Linked DNA regions of Xenopus tropicalis. The protein of the gene in region 5 binds, or shares a complex with, the protein of the main gene of each other region. Links are inferred from orthologs where the notes say so. Each region holds a gene or a part of one and is shown on either strand. Other genes may lie near its edges.

Region 1 (4,302 bases), on a different chromosome or scaffold from region 5:
ATAATCGAATATGTTCTGATGCTACTGAAAGGGACCACCACCTAAGAACACTCATGGCAGATTTCATTAACAGGGGCTACAACCCAAGGATTGTGGATCAATATATCCATACAGCCACCAGGATTCCCAGAAGTCAACTTCTACAATACAAACAAAAAACAGAAATAAATTGAATTCCTCTAGTTGTCACATACGATCCCCAACAAAAGACCCTCAGAAAAATAGCCAAGGATCTACAGTGTACACCTCAAAAGGATGAGAGGCTCCAAAACATATTCCCAGACCCACCACTTCTGGCATTCAGGCAGCCCCCAAACCTAAAACAACTAATAACAAGAAGTGCCTTAATTCAACCCAACAAAAAAGGAACTTATCCCTGTGGCAAAAAAACAATGCAAAACCTGCCCACACATCTGTAATTCAGATTTCAGACACATTAGAGGAATACAACATCCATGGTCAGTACAACTGTTCTTCTTCCAATATGGTGTACTTAATACAGTGCACTAGATACTGAACAGGAGGACTGTATATAGGAGAGACTGGTCAAAGCCTGAGAAAAAGAAATACACACCACCGTTTTACTATAAGAACGCGATTTCTGATGGTGGCCCTGGTTCTATCAATTAGATGCTCTGCTGTACAGTGCTTCGTACATAAGTACTGTAATGCTTATACCATGTGGGGTTGATTCTCAGCACATGAAAAACCACAGGCCAAGAATCAGTTCCTTGGGCATCAGCCTCCTACTTTTCCAGGTCAAACCACTGCGTTGGCCCAGGTGCAAGCATACAATATGAATATCCACTCTAAAATGCTAAATTTACAGTTTCTTTGCTGATATCTGCCATGTGTGCCTGCACCCAGGCCAGCCCAATAGTTTCTGGTGCAGGCAAGGTAGGAGGCTGTCAGCGGAGGGACTGATTATCTGCATGCGGGTTTCCATGCGGCATCAGCCGTATATAAATAAGAATATAAATAGTTTATATAAACAAGCTTCTATGCAGCCATGGAGGAAGCACTTCAAGATAAAAAAAGGAGAAAGGCACAGGATACACAGCAGATACCAGATTAACACGAATATACCACCACTGCATTTTATTACAGAGCATATATGTTATATGATATCCAAACCTGTGCCTTTTCTCCTTTTCAACTTAAATGGCTGCAAGACTTCTAGTTCTGCTTTTGCTTTGCAAAAATTGCTCTTCTCGTGTTATCAGTTTTTGGGAGCTGGACTTAAATGTAGAAATTTAGAATTTCGAGTTAAGTTTTTCAACGCAATTTCCACTACCCACCTTTAGTTCACACCGTTTCATTCAAGTTACAAATGGAACTGTCGCAGATTTCTAGGGCGCCCATTAAAGACGTCATCACCGGGCGGAAACGTGCGCAATAAGATGTAATGTAGGTGAATGCGAGGCTAGGGCAAACGCGTGGTGATCATTCTGCTTAGGCAGCGGTACTGGCGTCTGGAGGATGAAGTGGTTGATGCGAAGTTTGAGCTAATCTGTTAGCAGCAATGTTGCTATTTTGCCCGACGTGTGGGAATGTGCTGATCGTGGAGGAGGGACAGAAGTGCTACAGGTTTGCCTGTAATACCTGCCCTTATGTGCACAACGTTAATCGCAAGGTATAATGAGGTCTTCTGAAGTGATAGAAATATGGTTTTAAGCGGCGTAAGTGTAGTCCTGGTGGCTACGAAGCCTTTTTATGCCTTGTGTATGCCAAGCATTGCTAATTGGCAGATAACATTACATTAGCAACAGTACAATGCGCTGATTTTTAAGTGCGGGATGAATCTGTATAAATTGCTAACAACATATTCTGGTAATGGCTGGGGCTTTTAGCTCTAAATTGTGTAAGTTTAATAGACTTACAAAGTTAAAAAGGTGATCTTATCATTTATGTTTTATGATAAATACTAAATAAAATGCATAGTAAATAGATACACCTGCTACCCCCACCCCCCAAAATGAACATTTGAATATACGCATATGACCTGTGATTTTTTTTTTTGTCTGATTTTTGCTAGTTTGTGGCCAAGGTCTTGCTTTTCTTCCTTTTTGGCTATTACCCTTCTGGGAACAAATCATCATAGAAGGGCACACTTTTAACCCTAAATTCACAATACCCAGAACACCACAGCACAATCACTTCCCCTGTGGAAGTGCATTACCTTGCTAAAGCACACTAATATCATAAATATATATTATAAAATGTGTCCTAACACTTTCATAAATAATATCTAAATAAATACATTTGAATATATATTAATACATAGGGAGTTCTGACCGCTAGATACTTATTTGACAAACTTTAAGGGGAAATACTGTAACCCTATCTTCACCACTTCTGGCACCTTTGACAGTGTTACACTCCACGAGTGGCGCTTACCTGATGGCACGGGACAAACCTGAATCACTCCGCAGTGGTATTGGGAGAGACTGGGTACCTGGTACTTATTAGCGCAGTGCCTCCACCTAGTGGGATCCTGGAGTGCACCTACGGGTGGCCCCACTAGGAACAATAATAATGCACACACAGTACTTGATAAACGAAATAACTTTTATCTGAAATAAAGGGGAAACTAATACAGATAACACTCCTATCCAAGTGGCAATAAGGGCCTTACTAACTAGCTTTGCCAGCGCAAGCTGTCTCACTAACTATGTACAGTCCTTTAGCTCAGTCCCAAAAGAAACAGTTTATATAGTTTAAATCTTCAAGCGCTCCTTTATTACTTTCACTTTAATGATACTCACTCCAGGAATCTCTTTGGGTGATTCACACAGAATCTTCAGGCGAGTCCAGCACTCACAGCCATGCAGTGCGACTACTAGCCCCTTTAGCTACTCAGATGGGATTCCCCTGCAGGTGTTTGTTCCTCCAGTCAGGACTCCTCACAGGATCTCTGTCTCTCCAGGTACAGGGTCTGCCTTCCCTGTACCAGCCTGTTCCAAAGGCCAGCTTCTTCTTGTGCTGCTCCTCTCTCTGAGCCCACGTGCAGCTTCTGGAGTTCTGGGGCTTTTTCTCTCCTCCCACTGACTTCCTCTCCCAGGCTGCTTTGCAACTTCCGGCAGCCCTGAGCTTGCTGTTCACCTTGTTGCTAGGCAGCAGCTCACAGCACAAAGTCTCAGTGCCAGCTCCCCTACAGGGAACAGCAGCAGGAGGGGGGTAAGTGCAGGGACCCAGCACTACCTCCCTACATTCTCCCCCTGCTTGAATGGGCAACGTCCTCGCTTGCCCTTTCTCACCATTCTTATTCTCCCTAACCTTTGGGGGAGATACACAGGGGAAAGCTTCCTCACTAACTGCCCTGACACTTCCCCTGCCTGAAGGTCTACGCATTCCCAGGCCCAGTCTCTTACTTTTATTGGGGGTGCCAGAGTGCTCAGAGACCATCCTCGTGCCACAGGATTTCTCTTCACAAATATTCACTTCACATGGGAAAGATGTCACATATACATCAGTGAAGTCTTCATTCCGTCCCCAGTCACAGGTGTGGGAAGTATGACCGTACCAACCACAGGTGTAACACCTCACCTGATTACGTCTCTTCCGATACCTCTTTTGGGGTGGCTTCCTCACAGCACAGCCATATGAAATAACTTCTGTAGCTGCAGCATTTTCACGTTGCGTCGGACAGTGTGGGGATATATGGCCCAACCGGCCACAACGGAAGCACTTTGGTGGGTCACCGCGAGCACCACCTGCTTTAGGAAATGAAGAGGGTCTAGACATAGTTGACCCCTCTTCCTTTTCGGACACACGAGCCTTGAGCTGAGCAACCTGTTTTTTTAACTCGGCAATCTCTTCCGCTTTCTGCGAATCACTGGATGTCCTTTCAGAACCACGTCTTTTCTTCTCTCGTCGCAGAACATTAACTTCCTCCTTTCGGATCTCACGGATCAGCTCCTGATAAGTTGGTTCTTTCTTTCCTCTGTAGAAAGATCTCAACATCACAGCTGTGGGGTCCATAGATAAAGCCCCTCTGAATAACTGTTGTAGCCTCATAGAATCAACACGATCTGTAGCAATGATTCTTCGGCAAACAAGTAATTTTAGCATTTGCTGCAGTCGCTTCAAGTACTCAGACAGATTCTCTTTTTCTTTCTGCATGCAAGACTGAAATTTGTACAACATTTCAATTTCATCTTCCACCGGTCCATATGTATCTTCCAGTACGTCTATCAACTTCTCAGGACCATCTTGTGGGCACACCTCTCGTTGGAGCTTAATTAGGTCCAATGCAGGCCCTCGCAAACTCTCCTGGATCTTGCGACATAAAGCAGGGCCAGA
Region 2 (4,242 bases), on a different chromosome or scaffold from region 5:
ACGTGAGCATATTACACATATAACAGTATAACAGTACACAATAGATCACTATATAACTGTCTACTGAATAATTTTACATAGCACATGCAAATGTTTGTTCTTAATTGTGCATTTTAAGCCATTTATAGCTTTTATTACATTTCCCCACAAGCACTGCAATTACAATGTGATAATAATGAATACACATAATCTACCACAAACATGTTTAAATATTCCGTTTTACCAACCTCATAATTGCTCAGGAGCGCTGCATTTGCATCTTTTCTAAAAAAAAAGGGAAGGAAAAGTAATTCACCATAAGGCAAAACAAATAAACAATTCTATATGTCATTTGTTTAATCAATCATTATGGCTGGATCATTTGTACAAGGCCAACAAATGCCTATAAAACTCTTATTTAGCAACAGAAAGGTATTGAGCTTGTTTGTGATTCATAGGTCCATTTTCATTCAACTCTGTGAGCACTGAATTTAACTAACCAATAAATGGACCTCAAGCAAATAATTGCTGAGATCAGAGTTTAACCAGACGATAGCACTAGCCACAGAAAGACCTTTGGGATACAGTTTCCTTAGGTTGGTTGCTGTGAGTTACTAGACCCAAAGTTAACGCTATTACATAGTTACCATAGGTAAGATTTTTTTGGCACATCATTTGTCCTTAATTTTCTAATAAGGCCCTCTTCTATTTACATGCCAGTCTGACTTCCTAACTGCTGCTTGGCTGGTAGGGTTATTGAATTATAGCAACAAAATAGTAGTTAAAATTCCAAATCTGAGACCTGCAGAATAAAAAAGTAAAATAATAAAAAAACATAAAAAGACAAAATGCAAACTGTCTTAGAATACTGCTAACTACATCACACTCGAAGTCAAGTTGAATGCTTAATAAAATGCCCACAAAAGACACTTTGTCAGCTTCTGCTTATTTGATCTACTCTGAAGGTCTCTCAAAATCAGGTGTCTGAAAGTGCATCTATTTAAAGGAGAAGAAAAGGTAAAAACTAAGTAAGCTTTATCAGAAAAGTATGTAAATACGGCCATAAGCACTTACAGAAAAGCTGCACCGAGTCCTCTATCAAAAAAACACATGATTTCTTGTCACCGTTTTTGTAAACATGTTCTTGGGTATCTGACTAACTCTCCTAGTCCTAGAACACTATATTTATTCTGCAGAAAGCTTTACTATACTTGAGTAAAGAGCCCTAGAATCTCCCTGCGATTGTTTAAGATTGCAGCTACCATTTTATCTTGGTCTTCCTAGATTAAGCTACCAGCCTCTAGAACTGCAGCAGGAAACTAGGAAGACCAAGCTAAAATGGTAGCTGCAATCTTAAACAATCGCATGGAGATTTTAGGGCTCTTTACTCAAGTAAATCTTTCTGCAGAATAAATATAGTGTTCTAGGTGGCCCTAATGTGACAAATATATTGGCAGTAAAATGCCAAAATAACTATCCTTCTCCTTTAAATGCTTGCTGAATACATCAGAACACATATGTTATGCATGTAAGTGCATAAAAATGCTGAATGCTGTCTGGAAAAATGCAGTCAAATGTGGCACTACTTAAACGCAGATATGAAGGCTTGTTGTTACAACCAGACAGAATAATGTGGAACCAATTAAGTCACAACCTAGGTACACTCTCTAAGCCAGTGATCCCCAAACAGTGGCTCGGGGGCAACATGTTGCTCACCAACCCCTTGGATGTTGCTCTCAGTGCCCCCAAACCAGGTAGTTATTTTTGAATTCCTGACTTGGGGGCAAGTTTTGATTCAATAAAAACAAGATTTCCTACCAAATAAAGCCCCCTGTAAGCTGATAGGGCGCATAGAGGCTGCCAAATAGCCAATCTTCACCCTTATTTGGCACCTCCATGAACTTTTATGGTGCTTGTGTTGCTCTCCAAGTCTTTTTACATTTGACTGTGGCTCACAAGTAAGAAAGGTGGGGGACCCCTGCTCTAAGCTGTGTCTCATACGCACATCAAAAGCATGAATAAAGGGAAGGTTCACCCAATACACAAAAACCCAATTGAATAAAGTATAAGGTCAGCTTTGTCTACTATCTTGCCTTCAACAACATACTGCATGTTATTAATTAGTACTTTTCTTATTGTGTTCTCTTCTCTCAGTTTGGGTGCTCAGAAAGCAAAGGGAGAGGTAGGGCTTCAATTCCCCAGAGAAAAAGAATCACATGACTGCACACTTCCATGAAAACAACAATAATCTGACATTGCACAAACCTGGCACTGCCCCCATAAGATTATGTAGGCGGCATCAGCCAGAAGCATGCAGGGGTCGGCAACCCTCTCTGCATGCAGGGGTTAGCTTGCATTTTTGTTAATATTGGAGGTTATGTTAGAGATATGTTTAGAAATGTGCAATCTTTACATAGACGGTAGTTTGTGCAAAGGTAAGCGTTTCTTTAAAAGAAAATGCTTATAAGCCCCCTGTAAATATCACCTGATATAAACCTTTACTCTGTTCCACTATATATGTAATTGTAAAGTACTTACTGTCAATCAGCAAAACACATAAAAACACACATCGAAACCACATACAGCTAAGCACGTATACAATCCGGAAGTTTTGGAATGATTTCTCAGGTAACACCATGCTGCTGCCTACCCAGCTTTCACTCGCACACGTTCATTAGCAGCTCGAAAGCAAATGGCAGAAAACTCTTAAATATTTCGAAGCGTTTTAAAACAGACACATTTATAAATAACATTTCTTACACTTCCATGCTGTTTTTCACGTTGGTCAATTAAAAGCCGAGCGAAAAGTCGAGCAGCTGATGATGTCACGCCACGTGACCCTTTCAGGAACCAAACGGAGGCTGCGGAACCGCTGAAACAGGAAGTGGAAGAGTTCACCCTCCTGAAACACGTGTAGGATTCAACTTCGTTTTTGCAAGCGTTATTTGTATTCAAGTGTATGATGCGTCCCTGAGTGCTTTGAACGTCCCAAACTAAGGCAGTCTCCCAGTAGAATGAAACCTCACCAGGCTGAATATAGATAGTAATGGTGTAGTTCTTCAACCACTTTTCCTACTTCTTTTTGTACCCAGTGTGATTTCTGAAAGAACAATAACATTTTTTTTCCAAACCAATTAATAATAACAATAGTTTCTCTAACAGAATCCTGCATTAAAATCCATTTTTCAAAAACACATTTATTTTTTTAATTTCATACAGGGCTAGGAATATTCTTAATTTCCCAGGGTGCCACAGCCATGTAACGTGCACTCTGGTAAACTTCATCCACATTTTACTGCTAAGCTACAAGCTTTGGTGATTTCAACCCCCTCAGCCGCACCTCACATTATTGCTAATTGAAAACTTTTCCCAATACCCCGCCGTGATGACTTGAAATATAGTCAGCACTGGCAATTTCTGACAGTCTCTCAGGAGACTGATGTGCTTGGTTAAAAGGCAGATGTTGGCTCGCTTGCCTGGTGTTGCGCTGGAGAAGGGTGCTTTGGTTACGGCGCGACGGGAAGGCGGCCCTTTGAAAGGGCTTCGTTAGCATATGGATTCCCACAATCCATTGCATCGGCTGGGCAGCCGTAGCCACACTTGAAAGAAGCCCGTCCCACAAGGGGCCCCTTAACTTAGGCAGGGGCCCAATCAGCTTTGCGCAGTGGCAGTATTATAGCCAATGAGGTCAAACCGAGGCGTGATTATTGCTAATTGAAAACTTTTCCCAATACCCCGCCGTGATGACTTGAAATATAGTCAGCACTGGCAATTTTTGACAGTCTCTCAGGAGACTGATGTGCTTGGTTAAAAGGCAGATGTTGGCTCGCTTGCCTGGTGTTGCGCTGGAGAAGGGTGCTTTGGTTACGGCGCGACGGGAAGGCGGCCCTTGGAAAGGGCTTTGTTAGCATATGGATTCCCACAATCCATTGCATCGGCTGGGCAGCCGTAGCCACACTTGAAAGAAGCCCGTCCCACAAGGGGCCCCTTAACTTAGGCAGGGGCCCAATCAGCTTTGCGCAGTGGCAGTATCATAGCCAATGAGGTCAAACTGAGGCGTGATTATTGCTAATTGAAAACTTTTCCCAATACCCCGCCGTGATGACTTGAAATATAGTCAGCACTGGCAATTTTTGACAGTCTCTCAGGAGACTGATGTGCTTGGTTAAAAGGCAGATGTTGGCTCGCTTGCCTGGTGTTGCGCTGGAGAAGGGTGCTTTGGTTACGGCGCGACGGGAAGGCGGCCCTTTGAAAGGGCTTCGT
Region 3 (3,031 bases), on a different chromosome or scaffold from region 5:
GAATTTCATCTGGAACATGACAGGTAAACAGCTGGCTTCAGGATGTTACACACAGGCTTTTGAGCCTGCGTTCTCCAGTGGTGGATCTTTCATGCATTTCATCACAGGGAATGCAGGGAAAAAATGCAGCTTTTTTTTTTCCAAATGGTGTTGTTGGGATCAAGTACAAGGCACTGTTTTATTATTACAGAGAAAAATGAAATCATTTTCAAAAATTAGAATTATTTGCTTATAATGGAGCCTATGGGAGACGGCCTTTCCGTAATTCTGAACTTTCTGGATAACGCGTTTCCAGATAATGGATCCCATACCTGTATACCTTATCTAATATGGCTTGTGCCCTGTAGTAATTTAGTACCAGTTAATAGCAGTGGCATGTATTCATAGACAAAAATTTATGACTGATAAGTAATGAAGTTTCCATTCATCCAGGTCATGATACTTTCTGCCCATTTCCTTCAGACTTAATTCTACTATATATAGGCATACATTTCATAAACTAATAGTGTTAACATAAAGTCTTATTTATTCCATCTTTGAAAGAAACAATATATACATATATTTAATTTAAATACATTTTCTTCAAAAGAAACAGACATTATATTATTCAATTGAAGCTTTCCAAACGTATGTCCATTGTTTATTTTTTCCCTACATACTCTTCCAGGTCCTCAAGGAAAAGATGCATTGCCAAGGCCTTGGAATCCCTATTTATACATCTTCGCACATTTAGTTTTGTGTATGCTGGCATGAGTTTGTGGCTGTAAATTCCACACTTTGGGCTGCCATGTTGCAGAGGGCTTGCCTGCAGGCTCTACCTTTCACTCCATACATCCTGCTGCAGAAAATGATCTTTAAGAATTCTACTGGGTCTAAAAGCAGTGATGTCACAGGACCAGAGAAGGCATTGCAACCACCATCTGATCATTCTGGAGCACAACCACTCAGAATGTCGTCTACTGAACATGAGTGTTGTTTAACAATCAGAGCAGACAATGTGACAGGCTATCGTATTAGAAAGGAAAGGGAAGTGTTTAGCCCTGTCTTTTTTCCAGCAGAGACTCAAAATCTGGGGAGCACACAAGTTTGTGTTGAATATGGCCCAGGACCATCATCTCCCCACCACGAGATTCACCAACACTGACTGACACCAGCTCCTAAAAAAGAGAAAAGTAGGGATCACAAATATTAGAATTAAACGTGAAACATACAAACATTTATACGCACCGTCTAGCCATCCTGAGGAAAAATTACCTTTCAACCTTACACAGGTTCATTTTTACGATATCCAACCAGTGCAAATCAGTTGCATATTGGGTAATTTGGCAACACAAACAGATGCTGACATTGCATTAAAGGATAAGTCAACCGTAATCTAAAACTTACAGTTCCTGTAGCCGTACAGTCAAAAACAATAAAAGAGATATACCTTCAGAAGTAAAATAGAGAATTATAAAAGTGTTCTGATGTTCCTCTCCCCAGGAAGACAATCAGAAGCCTTAGATGTCCTTTATCATTTACTTCCTGAGCAGAGCAACATCAGAACACTCCTTTTTCCTCAGAAGGTATATCTCTGTGACTATACAGTTACTAGAACGGACCAGCAGGTGGTGCTGTTACAAAATTCATTGCACTGGTGGATAATGAACACCTAAATAGCTTTGACTGAAAAAACAATGTAAATTGCTTACATGCAGTGCTTACATTTTTGTTTTTACATTTTTTTTTTAAGTTTACTTATCCTTTAAGCCAAGCCAATCACTTAAAGGGATTCGGTCGTTATTTTTATGGTATACTTTATATTTCTAAATTACACTGTTCACATAGCAAATATTTCACTCTGCCATTTGAAATGTTATTCTTGAACCAAAAATTTTTTTTAGCTGTAATATTAGTGTGCAGGCACCATCTGCATTGTGCCCGAGTCTGAGCTTTTACAAGGAGGCAGCGCTACATATTAGAACTGCTTTCAGGTAACCTATTGTTTCTCCTGCTCCCATGTAACTGGAGGAGTCCCAAGCCGGACTTGGATTTCTTACTATTGAGTGCTATTCTGATATCTCATGGGAGCTGCTATTTTGCTTCCTTCCCATTGTTCTGCTGATCGGCTGCTGTGTGGGAAAGGGGGAGGGGGGGCTATAACTCCAACTTGCAGAGCAACAGTAAAGTGTGACTGAAGTTTATCAGAGAACAAGTCACATGGCTGTAGCACCCTGGGAAATGTAGAATATGGGTAGCGCCATATGAAATTAAATATAAAAAAAAAATCTGTTTGCGTTTTTACAAAATGGATTTAATGCAGGATTCTGCAGGAAAAAGTTCTATTAAACTGGTGCATTTTGAAAAAACATGTTTTCCAAATACAGTATTCCTTTAAATTACTATGTTGAAGTGTGTCCAGTTTGCTGTGGTTTTCTGCAAATTATGGCTCTGTACTGTGCCTCCCTTCTATCTAGCAGCTAGAAAGAGGATCAGATTGACTGTGTGTCTACCTTATTACTGCTACAATTTATGCGGTTATCAGTTTGGCAAGCTGGTGAACAAAAGGCAAAATCGAAAACCACAAATAGTAGGTTCAACTGTTTACAAGTACCATGTTGTACAAATCCTTTGAAAAACTATCCCTATAAAAGTCTACTCACCTGCAAGAATGAACAGGATGTGCCCATAGTAACATCCAGCATGACTTTGCCCAGCTTAAGCTGAACCTTGCCAGACTTGCGTACAAATAGCTTCCCAATATGGCCTTCTGACACATCCCGCAAGGTACAGCTGTCTTCTGCAGCCTTCGAGTCCTACAAGTAATTGAGAGGCAAGATTTAGAACTACTACCCGCTAACACCAGTGCATAAAAAAAGAATGTTTTGTTAACTGGAGTCCCCAGTGCAGACCTGAAAGTTTAGTGTTTGAACTGATGGAAGCAGAGGTGTGTCACTACAAGTTAAACATAAAGTACCTGTGCTGTGGAATATCGTGGTGCTATATAATGCATAATAATAGCCGAGATCAGGGGCGGGCCGAGCCGACCGGG
Region 4 (4,142 bases), on a different chromosome or scaffold from region 5:
TAGAGAATGCTGGGGGGAGCTAGAGAATGCTGGGGGGAGCTAGAGAATGCTGGGGGGAGCTAGAGAATGCTGGGGGGGAGCTGGAGCATGCTGGGGGGGAGCTGGAGCATGCTGGGGGGGAGCTGGAGGATGCTGGTGGGGGGAGCTGGAGGATGCTGGTGGGGGGAGCTGGAGGATGCTGGTGGGGGGAGCTGGAGGATGCTGGTGGGGGGAGCTGGAGGATGCTGGTGGGGGAGCTGGAGGATGCTGGTGGGGGGAGCTGGAGAATGCTGGTGGGGGGAGCTGGAGAATGCTGGTGGGGGGAGCTGGAGAATGCTGGGGGGGGAGCTGGAGAATGCTGGGGGGGGAGCTGGAGAATGCTGGGGTGGGCAGCTGCAGGATGCTGGGGAGTGTATGGGGATGCTGGGGAGTGTATTCCATACTTGATTATCAATAGGTATCAAAAGATATTTGTGCTGTTTCCATACAGGCAACGAGCAATCTTGTTGGTAAAAATTGTTGATAAAAAGAATATCCTAGAACTGCTCTCTGGTATTACATGTTCTGGCCTAAAGTCATTCTACTGAAATGGATTGTAAAAATGTTCAAACTTTTTAATGTTTAACCCTATATGGCATTTGTCACAGTAAAGAAGCCTTTGATTTATCTATTCTGCAGTGTATAACTATTGGGAACATACAGAGGGGCAACATCAAATATTTATGACATGCAAGGGGCTAAATTCAAAATGATAATGCAAGTAATATTAGGCAATAATAAAGTTAAAACGTTGTCACTACTGCCATTATTGTTTTTGTAGTTTTGGTGATTTACTTCTGTATTTCCTAGCTTGCAAAATGAACTGCCCCTCAGTATCTCAATCTAAACAAGGGGCCATATAGCCATAGTTTTAACATACATTATGTAAGACAAAAAGAAAACAAATATAAAAGAACTTACAGTTGCCAGCAGTCGGTTGATGCACATGGCCCTTTGTTTGGCTTCAATGTGAGGCATCTCATTTTGAATAACTTGGTCAGTGATACCATGAGGAAACTGCTGGCACAGCTCAATAACCCTAAATATATAGAAAAAAATACCATTAAAGAACTAGAAAAAGCTTAAGTGTAACTGTGTTAAGTGTTTATGAGACTGTTGACTTTCTCTAACATTTTATTTGTAATAATTTTGGCCCCTGATGTTAGTGGAAGGAATGCACAACACATGCAGAATATTTAGATCATGTCCAGTATGAAAGAACTGCTACCCCTTATGTGAGCCAACAACTGCAAGAAACAAACGGCTGGAACGGAGTATTATGTGACTAAAAATCACACTAACAACAAAGAGGATGTTTAAAGAACCGAAGCCATTGCTGCTTTTTTTTTTTTTGGACAGCTGTAATAACAGCCACCCTCCATTGGTAGACAGATGTTGGATGTTTTTTGGTACTACATGCTGTACTACATACACCAGAGGCAGTCTACAGGTCCGGACTAAGATTCAAAAGAGGAATTTCATGTACAAAGGCCCAAACAGCCCCCCACAGGTGCAATACATAGTGACGTTCTATGGCATCTTGCAGCAGCCACTCTGGCATTGGCCAGAATCCATAGACTGTCAGACCGGGCCTGGCATAAACACACTTGTTTTTTTTTTAATTCGGTGTAACTTTATCATAACCACATATTTTTATTGTCCCTTTTTACTATAAGACAGTCCTTAAAAGTTTCCTTTAAGGGGCAGTATATTTCTTTTTACCATGAGCTAAACAATAAATATAGTTTTTCCAAGTAATGTATGGCTTTTAGTTATTTCTTGCACTAAACAAAGACACTGACAGCTTAAATTTTCTAGTTTCCTGGTTCTGCCAAATCATCATTTGTGGTAAAACAAATCAACAGTATACAGATAAGCACTGGCTGCTCCTAATCACAAAGTCTAACAAAGGCTACATCTTAGGAGAGAGTGGATTTGCTTTATACACAGCTCATTATTCTCATTTAAACAATAGTGGGGAAAAACAAAACACTTTTATTTTAGTGCTTTATAACTACAAAACATTTGATAAATGTTAAAAATATGGATTTTTAAACTAAAATAAAAAAAGATTACATTCTCAACACAAGACTTATTTAGTATGCTGATGTTTAGCAAAAGTGTCTATAGGCATACACTGGCCTCTACAGTTTTAGGTTTCCTGCAGATAAAAACCCCACATCTTTTAGCAAATGTGTTCATGTCTCATCAGTCAGCCACAGTGTAGGTGTAGTCATGTCCTTTAGATAAGGTATAGCTGAGATTGCCATGAAGCTTTTCAAAATACTAGTAGGGTTCTAATGCCTGGTCTGGGACCACAGCTCTGAAGAAAGGCTGGATATAACCTGGGACAGACATTGAGCAAGTCAATGCGTGACAGCAAGTGACACAACTAATAAATAACTTTAGTTTTCTGCTATAACTGTAAGCATATGCTGCCAATATGATTATATTGATCAATGTGTCTTTCTAATGCAAGGGACTTTCATTTAAACCTTATGTAATTGAAAAAAGTAAACCAACATAGCCAAAACGCCAAAGACATACTCCGCTTTGCACCGCTTACCTGTTCTCTATCTCCGCTGCCTCCCCACCTTCTTGCTTCACCTTCGCTTCTGACATGTTTATTTGAGTCCCTATCCTTTGCCCACGTGTCCCCCTTAACGACTGTCGCCCCAACACCCCCAGTTCAGGTAGCACTAGCGCTGCAGCTCGATCAGCAGAAAGTATCGGCAGCCATTTTGCTTTCGGGCAAAAGGGAGCGTTTGGAACGGAACAACTTCCGAGCGGACAATATATTTTCAAATCAAAGGTACTACGTCTTTTAACTAAAGGACTTCGCGATTTACGTTGTCGCTAACCAAACATTTTCACGCTTTACAATTTCCAAATACAGCAAGTCGTCTGTGTAGCATTTGCTGCGGAAATACGTCATGCATAGGAGCATGCGCTTTGAGAGTGTGAAGAAATATGGGCGATGGTTTATTAGCGTCATCTTCGCATCTTTAGTTGCTAGGCAGCCAGACTTGACCAATGAAAAGGGCAGACACCGTCAGGAAGCAGGTTTTTACTACACCGCGTCTCTAGTAACGGGAGGTGGGACAAAGGCTGCGCCGGGGTCCACAGTGGGATATTTTATCAAGGTAAGTCAGGGTGCTATCAATTTAGACTAATGAAGAGTCTGTAGGTTACTGCTCGCCATAGATAGTGCTCTGCAGCTTGCGAACTTATGCTTTTCGAACTCAATGCTATGTGATTCGATGAAGCCCATTAACTTCTAGTTACATGTTTTTCAGTGGCTGAAATATTTTTATATTTTATACGTTTTTATAAAGCGGGACTGGTGTAGCATGTACAGTACATGTATGTAAGCTCATCTCATGCACCAGATTGTCTGGGAGAATTATAGCCTCAGAATCATTTTATGGCTGTTTGACTAATTAAAAGTTTTGCTAAGTACAAATGCTGACAGGACAAATACAATAAATCATTTAATCAATTTCTAATGTATTCATTTGAACTGCAGAAAGTTGGGTACAGTGGCCAACAAATGGTGACAATGTCCCTTAGTGCAATGTTTTTGGTCAAGAGACAGTAGCGTACCTTGAGTGGTCTGGCCCCACCCCCACAAAAAAAATATCTTCGGAGGGGCCCGGCATGCACGCTTAAGCTCAAATGAGAGCCAGCAAAGTGGACATTTAGAAGTGACTATGGATGGCAAACTACACACAGTGGACCTCATGGCCCAGCTTCCGCCCCCCATGGTCATGGGGTCTGCTGTATAGGTAGTTATGCCACTGTCAAGAGTATTTGGCCTTATTGAGTCAACTGCCCATGTACATGTAGGGACCCATAGGGTTAAATGGTCCCTATGGCTTTAAATCCCTACAGGTTCAGTTCCCTTAGTTGCTGGGCAGAAGGGAATGTATCTAAGTGAGTTCATTAACATGTGTGCTATTGGTCAGAAGGTATAGTGACCACATCCTGCCTGACTTTGGTATAGTGTTGGGAGAGGAGTGGCACCTTCCTGTTGTTTGCTTCCACCTTAGGGACAAAGTGGATGTGTGCTGAGAGCCCAGGGCATGGGCCCAGGCCCAGTGAAGTCGGGGAACAGGGCCCCGTGA
Region 5 (4,075 bases):
TCCAAAAATGGTACGGTCCGACCCCCCCCGCTCTTAAAAATGGTACAGTCCGAACCCCCCCGCTCTTAAAAATGGTACGGTCCGACCCCCCCGCTCTTAAAAATGGTACGGTCCACCCCCCCCCACTCAAAAATGGTACAGTCCGAACCACCCCCGCTCTTAAAAATGGTACGGTCCATCCCCCTCACTCAAAAAATGGTACGGTCCGAACCCCCCCCCGCTCTTAAAAATGGTACGGTCATCCCCCCCCACTCAAAAAATGGTACGGTCCGAACCCCCCCCCGCTCTTAAAAATGGTACGGTCCATCCCCCCCCCACTCAAAAATGGTACGGTCCATCCCCCCCCCCACTCAAAAAATGGTACGGTCCGACCCCCCCCCCCCCGCTTTTAAAAATGGTACGGTCCACCCCCCCCCTCAAAAAATGGTACGGTCCGACCCCCCCGCTCTTAAAAATGGTACAGTCCGAACCCCCCCCCCCGCTCTTAAAAATGGTACGGTCCGACCCCCCCGCTCTTAAAAATGGTACGGTCCATCCCCCCCCCCACTCAAAAAATGGTACAGTCCGAACCCCCCCGCTCTTAAACATGGTACGGTCCGACCCCCCCCGCTCTTAAAAATGGTACGGTCCATCACCCCCCCGCTCTTAAAAATGGTACGGTCCGACCCCCCTCCCACTCAAAAAATGGTACAGTCCGAACCCCCCCCCCCACTCTTAAAAATGGTACGGTCCGACCCCCCACTCTTAAAAATGGTACGTTCATCCCCCCACTCGAAAAAAATGGTACGGACCGAAACCCCCCCCGCTCTTAAAAATGGTACGGTCCATCCCCCCCACTCAAAAAATGGTACGGTCCGACTCCCCCCCCCACCCAAAATAAAATGGTACGGTCCTATCCCCCCATAAAAATTGGTGCGGTCCGACCCCCGCTCTTAAAAATGGTACGGTCCGACTGGTACGTCCATCCCCCCCCACTCGAAAAAAATTGGTACGGTCCCCTCCCCCTCTAAAAATGGTATGGCCCGACTCCCCGCTCTAAAAAATGGTACGGTCCGACCCCCCCGCTCTTGAAAATGGTACGGTCCGTCCCCATCCCCTCTAAAAAATGGTACGGTCCTACCCCTCCAAAATAAAATGGTACGGTCCGACCTCCCCCGCTCTTAAAATTGGTATGGTCCGACCCCCCCTCCAAAAATGTCACGGTCCATCCCTCCCTCTCAAAAAAATGGTACGTCCAACCCCGCCCCCCTCCAAAAAATGGTACAGTCCGACCCCCATTCCAAAAAATTTTGGTTGGACCGTACCATTTTTTTGGAGGGGGGTCAGCCCGCACCATTTTATTTGAAGGGGGGGGTCGGACCGTACCATTTTTTTGGGGGGGAGATCGGACCGTACCATTTTTTTGGAGAGGGTGTCGGACCGTACCACTTTTTTCCGACGGGGGATCAGGCCGTACCATGCTATTTTTTTGAAGGGGGGATCAGACCGTACCATTTTTTGGAGGGGGGTTGGACCGTACCATTTGTTTCGAGGGGGGGGTTGGACCGTACCATTTTTTGGAGGGGGCGGACCGTACCATTTGATTTGAGGGGGGGTCAGACCGTACCATTTGATTTGATGGGTCGGCCGTACCATTTTTTTTGAGATGTTTCACCTCACTGTGTTAAGGCGCTATGACCCTATAAAAATTAGGTATGCCCAAATTGCAGCCCTCCAGCTTTTGTTCATCAACATAGCTTTCCCTTTAAAATTATATACTTTTTTTAGTGAAGCTCAGGTGTATTCTTACAACATTCTCATTAAAATAATTGATAGCAATGAATTACACCTGCTGGGGTTTGCACCAATTACAGCACACTAAGATGCCTACTTATTATGCTGTGCAAAAATGGCAGCAAAATTCGTCATTCATTGCGAGGCTTCGCTGTGTAAAAAACAATGTAATTACGTAGCTTGCATAGAATAATGGCATAAAGTCTGGCTTTCAGATGGTGACATTTGCCATTTTACTCAGCACACTAAATAGGCCCCCAGGTACAGCTGCTATAATCACCTGAAAGTCATCAGCTGACATTGAATGTTCTAGTTGAACAAAACTAGAAGGGCCACAGGCAACACTGTAAATGTAAAAACTAAGAATGTATATAAGAATATACATTTTTAATGATTGTTATTTGTACTTCTACAAAGGACATGATGAGGACTAGAAGCTCTCTATGTCCTGCCCTAAAGCATTCCCTGTCATGCCCCAACCACACCCAGCTAAGAGCACTAAGAGTTGCAGCTTCCAGCAGCTGAAGGACCCCAAGTTGAACAATAAAATATTAAAAGGCATTTATTTTCATAGGCCCACTTTAGGCAAACAAGCTTAACTCATTATTAAATAATACATTCAAAAACATTTCAACATTCAGCTTCAGTAGAAGTCAATAAATGCAAGCCCCAATATGCCAATCTGTGCCAATGCTGCTAAATATCATTGATCCAACTGTAACTGATTTTATAATGGCCTAAAATGTGCTTATATCTGTGCTTTAACACATCTTACATTTGGGTGTTTTCATAGATTAATAGAATTATAGACATGATATTAAATTCATATACTTAAGCGAATCATTTTACCTTCAGTCTGATATAATTTCTCGCTGATGAATCAAACATAGAACTCGGCTGATTCACCAAATCTGCGTTACAATGACATTCACAAGTAAATCCTGGTGCAGTAGGGATAAGCCAGTGGGGGCAGTGCTTGTCAGCAAGTCCTAACGAGCATCAGGCAGTGTAACTGATTCTAAACTAATTAGGTTCTGCTCAGCAGTAAAACTATATAGGGTAGAGCTTCCCTTTGTTAGTGTTCAGGCTTACTAAACACAACATGAAGCACAGCCCTTTCAGTGGAAAGGCGCTGTACATTGATCATTATGTGTTCTTAAAGGGGAACACAAAACTAATGTACTGGCAACTATCAGCAGTTAGCTCTAATCATGCATTACACAGCCACCATCAGTGAGGTGCAACTGCTGGAGCCCAGAAAATAAATATTATACAATATGTCTGTTCAGAGAAGATAAATTTGGCATTTGTCTAAATATCAAATGTTTTTCTTTTTATGCCACACTGTTTTTATTTTCTTTTAAAAAGTTGGAGTAAATTACTTTTTGCCAGTTTAACTACTAATCTTTCTAAATTTGACATAGTTGTCTTCGTCAAAATGCTGTCAAAGGGCATGTTCAGCTTTTGCAAAGTAGTGTAAATAGTAGCCTCTGGGAAGAGTCTGTGATATATTGAATATAGTAGGTAGGGAAGGGACTGTGGCTGTGGGATAGCAGGTATAGTAGGGGGAGATGGTACCTATAGTAGCAGTGGGGGGATAATAGCCTCTGGGAAGGGACTGTGGCTGTGGGATAGCAGGTATAGTAGGGGGAGATGGTACCTATAGTAGCAGTGGGGGGATAATAGCCTCTGGGAAGGGATTGTGGCGGTGGGATAGCAGGTATAGTAGGGAGAGATGGTGCCTATAGTAGCAGTGGGGGATAATAGCCTCTGGGAAGGGACTGTGGCTGTGGGATAGCAGGTATAGTAGGGAGAGATGGTGCCTATAGTAGCAGTGGGGGGATAATAGCCTCTGGGAAGGGACTGTGGCTGTGGGATAGCAGGTATAGTAGGGAGAGATGGTGCCTATAGTAGCAGTGGGGGATAATACCCTTTGGGAAGGGACTGTGGCTGTGGGATAGCAGGTATAGTAGGGAGAGATGGTGCCTATAGTAGCAGTGGGGGGATAATAGCCTCTGGGAAGGGACTGTGGCTGTGGGATAGCAGGTATAGTAGGGAGAGATGGTGCCTATAGTAGCAGGGGGATAATAGCCTCTGGGAAGGGACTGTGGCTGTGGGATAGCAGGTATAGTAGGGAGAGATGGTGCCTATAGTAGCAGTGGGGGGATAATAGCCTCTGGGAAGGGACTGTGCCTGTAGGATAGCAGGTATAGTAGGGAGAGATGGTGCCTATAGTAGCAGTGGGGGGATAATAGCCTCTGGGAAGGGACTGTGACTGTAGGATAGCAGGTATAGTAGGGAG

The links.
Region 1: polr3g (region 5) and polr3k share a complex: the UniProt entries of both Homo sapiens proteins name them as parts of the RNA polymerase III complex. The link is inferred for Xenopus tropicalis from reciprocal best matches to the Homo sapiens genes POLR3G and POLR3K.
Region 2: polr3g (region 5) and crcp share a complex: the UniProt entries of both Homo sapiens proteins name them as parts of the RNA polymerase III complex. The link is inferred for Xenopus tropicalis from reciprocal best matches to the Homo sapiens genes POLR3G and CRCP.
Region 3: polr3g (region 5) and polr3d share a complex: the UniProt entries of both Homo sapiens proteins name them as parts of the RNA polymerase III complex. The link is inferred for Xenopus tropicalis from reciprocal best matches to the Homo sapiens genes POLR3G and POLR3D.
Region 4: polr3g (region 5) and polr3f share a complex: the UniProt entries of both Homo sapiens proteins name them as parts of the RNA polymerase III complex. The link is inferred for Xenopus tropicalis from reciprocal best matches to the Homo sapiens genes POLR3G and POLR3F.

The regions. Positions count from the first base shown.
Region 1 is NC_030685.2:40,340,912-40,345,213, forward strand, and holds the start of polr3k (DNA-directed RNA polymerase III subunit RPC10), read left to right. Parts: upstream 1-1,488; 5' UTR 1,489-1,522; coding exon 1,523-1,633; intron 1,634-4,302. Other genes in the region: snrnp25 (U11/U12 small nuclear ribonucleoprotein 25 kDa protein), read right to left, coding at 1,299-1,319. UniProt on the Homo sapiens protein: Core component of RNA polymerase III (Pol III) which synthesizes small non-coding RNAs using the four ribonucleoside triphosphates as substrates. Can mediate Pol I proofreading of the nascent RNA transcript.
Region 2 is NC_030678.2:97,817,155-97,821,396, forward strand, and holds the start of crcp (DNA-directed RNA polymerase III subunit RPC9), read right to left. Parts: upstream 2,810-4,242; 5' UTR 2,748-2,809; coding exon 2,740-2,747; intron 2,716-2,739; exon of another isoform or gene 2,518-2,715; intron 265-2,517; coding exon 228-264; intron 1-227. UniProt on the Homo sapiens protein: DNA-dependent RNA polymerase catalyzes the transcription of DNA into RNA using the four ribonucleoside triphosphates as substrates.
Region 3 is NC_030679.2:129,697,211-129,700,241, reverse strand, and holds the end of polr3d (DNA-directed RNA polymerase III subunit RPC4), read right to left. Parts: intron 2,796-3,031; coding exon 2,643-2,795; intron 1,158-2,642; coding exon 1,035-1,157; 3' UTR 504-1,034; downstream 1-503. UniProt on the Homo sapiens protein: DNA-dependent RNA polymerase catalyzes the transcription of DNA into RNA using the four ribonucleoside triphosphates as substrates.
Region 4 is NC_030681.2:38,387,677-38,391,818, reverse strand, and holds the start of polr3f (DNA-directed RNA polymerase III subunit RPC6), read right to left. Parts: upstream 2,803-4,142; 5' UTR 2,641-2,802; coding exon 2,585-2,640; intron 1,058-2,584; coding exon 940-1,057; intron 1-939. UniProt on the Homo sapiens protein: DNA-dependent RNA polymerase catalyzes the transcription of DNA into RNA using the four ribonucleoside triphosphates as substrates.
Region 5 is NC_030677.2:178,954,533-178,958,607, forward strand, and holds the start of polr3g (DNA-directed RNA polymerase III subunit RPC7), read right to left. Parts: upstream 2,806-4,075; 5' UTR 2,623-2,805; intron 1-2,622. UniProt on the Homo sapiens protein: DNA-dependent RNA polymerase catalyzes the transcription of DNA into RNA using the four ribonucleoside triphosphates as substrates.